Bombyx mori: one gene and its partner. The protein of the gene in region 1 interacts with the protein of each later gene in a pairwise test. Links are inferred from orthologs where the notes say so. Each region holds a gene or a part of one and is shown in the gene's direction. Other genes may lie near its edges.

What was found.
Region 2: the proteins of programmed cell death protein 2 (region 1) and RpS2e interact in a two-hybrid assay, tested with the Drosophila melanogaster proteins (2 studies listed by BioGRID). The link is inferred for Bombyx mori from reciprocal best matches to the Drosophila melanogaster genes Zfrp8 and RpS2.

What each region holds. Positions count from the first base shown.
Region 1 is NC_085128.1:8,869,606-8,874,001, forward strand, and holds the start of programmed cell death protein 2, read left to right. Parts: upstream 1-1,501; 5' UTR 1,502-1,984; coding exon 1,985-2,164; intron 2,165-2,237; coding exon 2,238-2,414; intron 2,415-4,396. Other genes in the region: tRNA-dihydrouridine(20a/20b) synthase [NAD(P)+]-like, read right to left, coding at 1-55, 426-547.
Region 2 is NC_085119.1:4,434,658-4,438,107, forward strand, and holds RpS2e (ribosomal protein S2), read left to right. Parts: upstream 1-1,380; 5' UTR 1,381-1,406; intron 1,407-1,705; 5' UTR 1,706-1,706; coding exon 1,707-2,225; intron 2,226-2,420; exon of another isoform or gene 2,421-2,422; coding exon 2,423-2,689; 3' UTR 2,690-2,730; downstream 2,731-3,450. UniProt on the Drosophila melanogaster protein: Component of the ribosome, a large ribonucleoprotein complex responsible for the synthesis of proteins in the cell.

The sequences.
Region 1 (4,396 bases):
TTGACAAAAAGAATCTGCCAAAATCATTGGAGTGAAACATAGATCTGCATTAAAACTGAAAAATAAGAATTATATGAGACAAAATACTAATGAGACTCCACCAATTTATTTTAATTAACAATTAAAACTCAATTGAAACATTTCCAGAGACCAGCACATTCAAAGCTGCAGTGCCAGTACAAACAGATTTCAATTACCTTGCTATCAGACACTAAACATATTAAAATTGGTCATGTTTGTCCTACTGGTCGGAATTAACTTCCGTTGAAAGAGCAGAGGTAGTGATTTGTGTAGGTAAATTGTAAGCTGATAGATGGACGATTATACTACAATCACTTAGTGTGATGGCTGAGAGCAGACATACGACAAAAAATCAATTACAATTTCGAAATTAGATAAATCAACAAGTCGTTAAATAGACTCACTTTCTTACTAAAGTTCTAAAATGAACTTTGCTGTATCTGACCATCGGGGCACATACTTTCAAATATGTTTTATTTATTTTGGCATCAGCAAATTTTTCCATAATATCGCAGATTTCTTTCATCGTTACAGAGTTTACAGACTGACTTTACAATTCTGATATCTACTAGATATATTAAATTTTATTATTTGTTTACAAATAATAAGTACACCACATTGTTTACATTCTTCACAAAAGTGACAAAAGTTAAAGGTTAGGTTAGTGCCGTTCTTAGTACCCATGTAGATCGTATGGTCCCGTTTTCTTTGCCGGTCTGAATACCTACAGAATACAGGGATCAACACTTAATAATTTTTTTTAAATCACACTTAATTATTTCTTTTTAATATTTAATGGCCGGTATTCTGTTATTTTAGCCTAATATTCATTTTAATAGTACAATTAAACGTAAATGTAATTAATTTGCTTGCACGGCTTCTCGACTTTTCTTATAAAGAAATTGTAATTCTCAGTAAATTCTCATTCTTTTACTGAGATTTTTTCATTTTATCTTTGCTAACACCTGCGCTGTCTTCCTCCTCTCATTTCATTTAAAAATAAATATTAATTATTTCCTTTCCGTTTCACTCCTCATTCAAATGATATGACTTTTGCTTTTTATTGCCCTGGATTTAGCATTAAGGATTAAGTAAAAGGCATAATACTCTTGGCTAAATTTAGCCTACTAAATTCAGTAGCAAGGATGGTTTCTGACTTCTGACTGACTAAATCATATAGAAGCCTAATTAGAAACGCATTTAGGAAGGTGTAGTCGCATTTAGTTACATAATGGTTTCAGTCCTAACTCTCCATGCGTAAGGACGTTTTAGTTTGTTTTTTACTTCCGAATAAAGTATTAATTTCGGTCGCCTTTATTTAATGTGCCAGACATTTATAAACAGCCCGAAATGTTTCAGGGATAATTTTTGTCATCAGGGGTTGGGATATTGAGGAACTAAATTTTAAATCTTGATACGAATTTCAAATTCGTAATTCAATACGTAAAATGGTGGACATTTACTGAGACTTTTTCAGTGAACTGTTTGAAGGATCCCGAGAAGTTACGTCTAGCGGCTTTGTTTCATTTTCCCACATTTGTGCACTTTCGAAGATATTAAACAGTTAATAAACCACCGTTATAACCCATTTAAACCTGAAGAAACTATAAATAGACAACATAAAACAAATCACACAACTTCACTCCTCGCGTTCCCGCCAAAAACTTGATTTAAATTAGTGTATCAACATGCACAGATAATTACTTACATTGATTAGCTTAAATAGGTAGGTATGTTGTATGTACCTACCTAGTATATACCTAATGTACCTATGGATTTACTTAAACTAACCTAAAATGTGCGTGTTGCGATTCTCTTTTAACTTTTAAACTCTTATTATAGATAGCAGTAACACACGAGTCTAATAGATTTGTTTATTTTACTTGAAAAATGAAAAACGTTTTTAACACTACATAAAAATACTGAATTGGATTTAATATAACACAGTTTTCGTTTAATTTAAATGGAGCCCAGAAAAGTGGATATAGGCGTTTTAGAAGAAAAACCTAGTTGGCTTTTACATCCAAGGTTCTTTCCAAGCAAAATTGGCGGAAAACCATCCTGGCTTAATCTGCAGGATCTACCGAAATCTAGTGAGCTTTTGTGTAAAAAATGCCAGGATCCTACAGTTTTCTTGTGTCAAGTACGTCATTTTAAACAATATTAACAAAGCATATTGAAAATATTTAAGGTCATTATTATAACTATTCTTTCAGGTTTATGCTCCGTTTGAAGATGTAGAAGATTGCTTTCATAGAACTATATTTATTTTCATTTGTAAAAATGGAAATTGTTGCAGTAAAAACCACACTGATAACTTTATTGTACTACGCTGTCAGCTTCCTAGAACGAATGATTTCTATTCCTATCAACCATATGAAGAAAAAGATGAGGTTTGATTTATTAACAGTGTTAATTTTGAGTTGTTTGATTATTAAGAAGCTTGAAAAATCTATCCCAGTCATGGAATAATTCGCTTTAAATCTTACCAGCAGGTGTCAATCTTCTTGTTGACATCCCTCAAATGGTGTAGAATTAATTGTGGCATTCAAGTTGCTCTAGTCAGTGGCCTAGAAGGTGCTGTACTTATTGACTTCAGAAGCTGGTGGAACTATTAACCCAACAGTTTGAATCCATCACTGGGACCCAGAAGTATCAGTTTTGACTACCGTAAACTTTTAATTTTTTTTGTACAGGCTTAAACCCAGCTTGAATTACACAAATTTCCTTAGACATTCTTGACCCTCTTGAGATAATATGCTCTTTGAATACTATCTTTTGCTGCCTAAGTGATAGCAGTTACACAGTGAAATGAAGTTTAGTTATTTAGCCTCTGAATGCTCCTTCACAATTTAGTATCTTCAATTAGGGTTCATATTAAAATTCATAGCGTTATATAATCTAGGCAGAGAGCATCTTCAGTATGCTGGTTATTGTACCATATGTTGTTCAGTCAAAATAAATCTCCAAAACTATTCATGTTGTAACCTCTAAGGGTTCTCTGGTAACCAATGTACACTGAGAAGGCTGTTAGCTCCTTCAAACGTCTCCCAAATCAGATTCTCTTTTTGCTAAAAAACACTATCTTTTAAATGGAGTGGTGACATTTGATCCAATCATCACCTCCCTGATTTTAATATTGCCATATGATTTTATATCCATCTGTTTCAACATCTGTCACATCCTTGTTTTGTTTTATTAATTAACTAGAGACTGAAGCTTACCAAAAGGATCCAATTAAATTATATTTGAAATAATAATAATTAGATTTAATATTATATTTATATTGTAGTTAGATAGAGAAAACACGGGATTATAACTATTCACTTAGGTTTGTAGATATTTTTCAGTTCAAACTACAATTGTATCTTTTGTATATGCAGCAATTTTTTATGAGGCAAAATAAATACTATCCTACTTTTCTAAATACCAATTGATTTTTTTTTGAAAACATCACTAAACTAACCATTTTTAAAAATATCTGATTGATTACTAGAATTGATGTCTTAAACTGCCAAGCGTATATCGATCAGGCGTTTACCTGCGGATCGAATAGTAAACACTCCACGTAGTCCTAAACACGTAATTTCGGATCCTCCCGATCCACTATCAGTGCTTTTAGGTACCTCAAGCACTGGTCACCGTTCTCGTCGAACCCATGGCTTGCGACGAAGGGTAAGACGGCCGGTGCATTCGTGTCGAACAATATACCGGTGTTCGAATCCCGCAGGCGTGTACCAATTTTTATTATGAAATACGTCCATACTACTTCCACTTGTTCTTTGACTTCCAAGGTGAAGCAATAACATCGTGTAATAAAAATCAAGCTCGTAAAATTATAAAGTACATAATTACTGGTGGTAGCACGTCTTAGAAGTTTGCACGGGTAGCTACCACCACCCCACCTATTTCTGTGAAGCAGTAATGCGTTTTGGTTTCAATGGTAGGGCGGCCGTTGTACTGTTAAAACAGACCTTACAGCTCACGTATCGAGGTGGGTGGCGCCGTTTACGTTGTATATATCTAGGGACTCCCGTTACCACTTAACACCATGAGGACCGTGAGCTCGTCCACCCATCTAAACAATAAAAAATAAAAAATACCCATAGACATAGCCCACTGAGTTTCTACCGGGTTTTCTCAGGTAGGTTCTGCGAGACACTGTTCTTGATACAGCTAGTGTTAGCCACGTCCCCAGGTTAGAGCCCCGTAAGCTCACATACTCGCTGGTGAATCTAGTATGGCCCTCGAGGTCACTAGAATAGGTAGGAAAAAAAAGAAAGGCATATATGTATACCTATATCTGCACCATCATAAACAGAGTCACTCATTCAGAATATGCTACTAAAAATTTTAATAGGAACCTTCCCACATA
Region 2 (3,450 bases), on another chromosome or scaffold:
GTCTCTAGCCTGATGTTGCCTTTTCGTATATTTTTATAGCGTAAAATCGTGAAATATAAAACACACCGAGAATATAAACGTAGAAGCTTTTGAAATTCACATGGGTGCACAGAATGATGAAGATACTGTAGATTGATTGAATTCTTTAAAGTAAAATCTTGCAAATGACCACAAAAAGTGGGATTTGAAATACTGTCAAAAACGTATGTTTGGCATAATAATATGCGAAATTATAAATAGGATTTGCCCCTGCTGAGAATGAAAAAGAAAATCCAGGGGACGTGGCCACCCGGAGGAAGACGTTATGGCACAAGTATATCGTTACGTGTATGGACTATGGCTTTAAGATTTAATAAAAATAATAAATAAAAAATAATTTTTTTTAAGGGATCTTTCGACATGGTAACTAAGACCTTTAGGTCATAAATAAATGGTCTGTGCTTCGTAGCGACTAGAGCTACGCAGCACAAATCACTCCCTACGAAATGTGAGATTTTTTCAGTCTACGAGACTATTTCTAAACGAACTACTTTAATGATAGAATAGATGCATGAGAGTTTGTCGACTGAAATTAAGTAAAGTGGTGTCGTTTTTTGTTTTTTTTTCGTTTACCTTTGCTGATAGCATTGAGAGGCTATGTCAGCGTTATCTGACGAATTGGTTTCGACTTTTTTCTAGGATGATTCTATGTCCAACTAGATTAAGTACTTATGATTGTACAGATACGACGTTTCTGAAAATTTAATTAGGTTGGTGTATATAGATAAATTTGGCTCTCTTTATTATTTAAATCTTATCAGAAATACAGATCGAATCACGTGTAACTGAATTAAATAAACACAAAAAAATAGTTACATAAACATTTTGAAGATTCAAGTAGGATCAAAGATATTCAACGCAACACATTGTTGCACAACAAAGCACAATGTGCCTTATTGCGAAAGTATAGTGAAAAAGTTATTCTATTACTCATTACTCTTGGTCTCAGCACTGACTCAACAATTACCGCTCTCTCTATCCGCTTTCTTATGCATCTTTTTATTAATAACGTCGATAATTGAGGAATCCAACCTCACCGTGTACCCAGATAGTCTTAGCTATCCATATATATATTATTATTAAAAAAAAAAACCGCATTTAGAAGAAAGATGTGTTAGTAGTTTAGTTAGTCCTTATTAATCATTATAAAACTTGAGATTTTGATTTAAAAATATTTTAGGTTTCTAATTAATTAAAACACACCATTTTCGGATCGAGTTTTTAAAAAAATCGAGGGTTTTAAAAAAACATCGATAATCTAATGACAGCACATTCGATTTTCTCGATACTTTGTTAGGCTCTATTGAACTAAATAAGTTCAAACGGCCATTTTGTGCTTGACTGTCTATCAGAGCCCATCGTTCAACGTAAGTTTTAGAGTTAAATGAATTTAATATCCCAATTATTTTTAGTTTTAACTTTTTAGTTATGCAAGTGTTTTGTTTACTGAGAAGACTCAATTTAAGCGTCCATCGTCCAAAGGATCTCTTTTCAATTTTCAACCCCTCACCACGTGGTTTATGATGACACAATTTTTTTAATTCATTCGTGGTATCTACCATAGTGTTAGCACAGTGATGGCCTTTATGCGTCTGATAAATAGCTATTCTTTGTGTAAATTGTCTATAATTTAGTAATTATTAACAAGATAAACTATAAATTCCAGAATGGCGGACGCTGCTCCAGCCGGTGGACGTGGCGGTTTTCGCGGCGGATTCGGATCACGCGGTGGAGATAGAGGCCGTGGCGGTCCTCGTGGACGCGGTCGTGGTCGCGGCCGTGGTCGTGGGCGCGGCAAGGAAGACCAGAAAGAGTGGGTTCCTGTCACCAAACTCGGCCGTCTTGTTCGCGAAGGAAAAATCGACAAACTCGAGAGCATTTACTTGTTTTCTTTACCAATCAAAGAATTCGAGATCATTGATTTCTTCCTCGGCCCGTCCCTGAATGATGAGGTTCTTAAGATCATGCCTGTACAGAAACAAACACGTGCCGGACAGCGCACACGTTTCAAGGCATTTGTTGCCATTGGCGACAACAACGGTCATATTGGTTTGGGTGTGAAGTGCAGCAAGGAAGTCGCCACTGCCATTCGAGGCGCTATTATCCTTGCTAAGCTGTCAGTTCTACCAGTCCGAAGAGGTTACTGGGGTAACAAGATAGGAAAGCCACACACCGTCCCTTGCAAGGTAAATGCCACTTCTATATTTAAAAAAATATTTAAATTGTATAAATGATGATAACATTCTAATCATTTCATTCGTGGTATCCTCTTGAGGTTTATCCTGTGAAGCTTTTGAACGTCTGAATTAATTTAATTGTGAAATGAAAACATAAAATTGGTTTCGATCGTTTTAATAAATCAAACAAACAATTGTTTTTTCAGGTCACCGGCAAGTGTGGTTCCGTAACAGTCCGGCTGATTCCTGCCCCTCGTGGTACTGGTATTGTGTCTGCGCCAGTTCCTAAGAAGCTTCTTCAGATGGCTGGTGTACAGGATTGCTACACGTCAGCTCGTGGTTCAACTGGCACCTTGGGAAATTTTGCTAAAGCCACATACGCTGCCATTGCCAAGACATATGCCTACCTCACTCCTGACTTGTGGAGGGATATCCCGCTGACTAAGTCTCCATACTCAGAGTTCAAAGTCTAAGACAGTCATTGTATAACAACTGAATAAAAGAATTTGTCTTACTTTGTACTTTTATTGATTAATATTTTCTTTTTTCTATTTTGTTAGCACAGAGACATCTGCTGCTGGACATGTCTTGTGATTTTTATTGATTAATAAGCTTAAAAAGATATAAACTTCACTTGCAAACTATAAAATTAGCTTAAAACTATTTAATATATTGAAATAAATTAAATAAAGTACTAATAATAAGTACCCTAAAAAATAATAATGTCATTTTAGCTTTGAATTTCTTTCAAAGTTGAGTCTTCAAGATTTTTTTATTTATTAGCTTAGATGGGTCAACGAGCCCACCTGGTGTTAAGTGGTTACTGGAGCCCAGACATCTACGACGTAAATGCGCCACCCACCTTGAGATATAACTTCTAAGATCTCTGTATGGTTACAGCGGCTGCCCCACCCTTCAAAACACCGAAACGCATTACTACTTCATCACGGCAGAATTAGGCAGGGGAGTGGTACCTACTCGCGCGGACTCACAAGAGGTCCTACCACCAGTTAATACGCAAATTATAAATTTGCGGGTTTAAATTTTTATTACACGATGTTATTCCTTAATTGTGGAAGTCAATCGTGAATATTTGATGAGTACGATTTCGTAGAAAAATTAGTACTCGCCTGGGATCTGTACACAGGTGCATCGCTCAACACGAATGCACTGTACGTCTTATCCTTTAGGCCACGACTTCGACAGCTTAGCTTAGCTAATATTTCAATTGTCA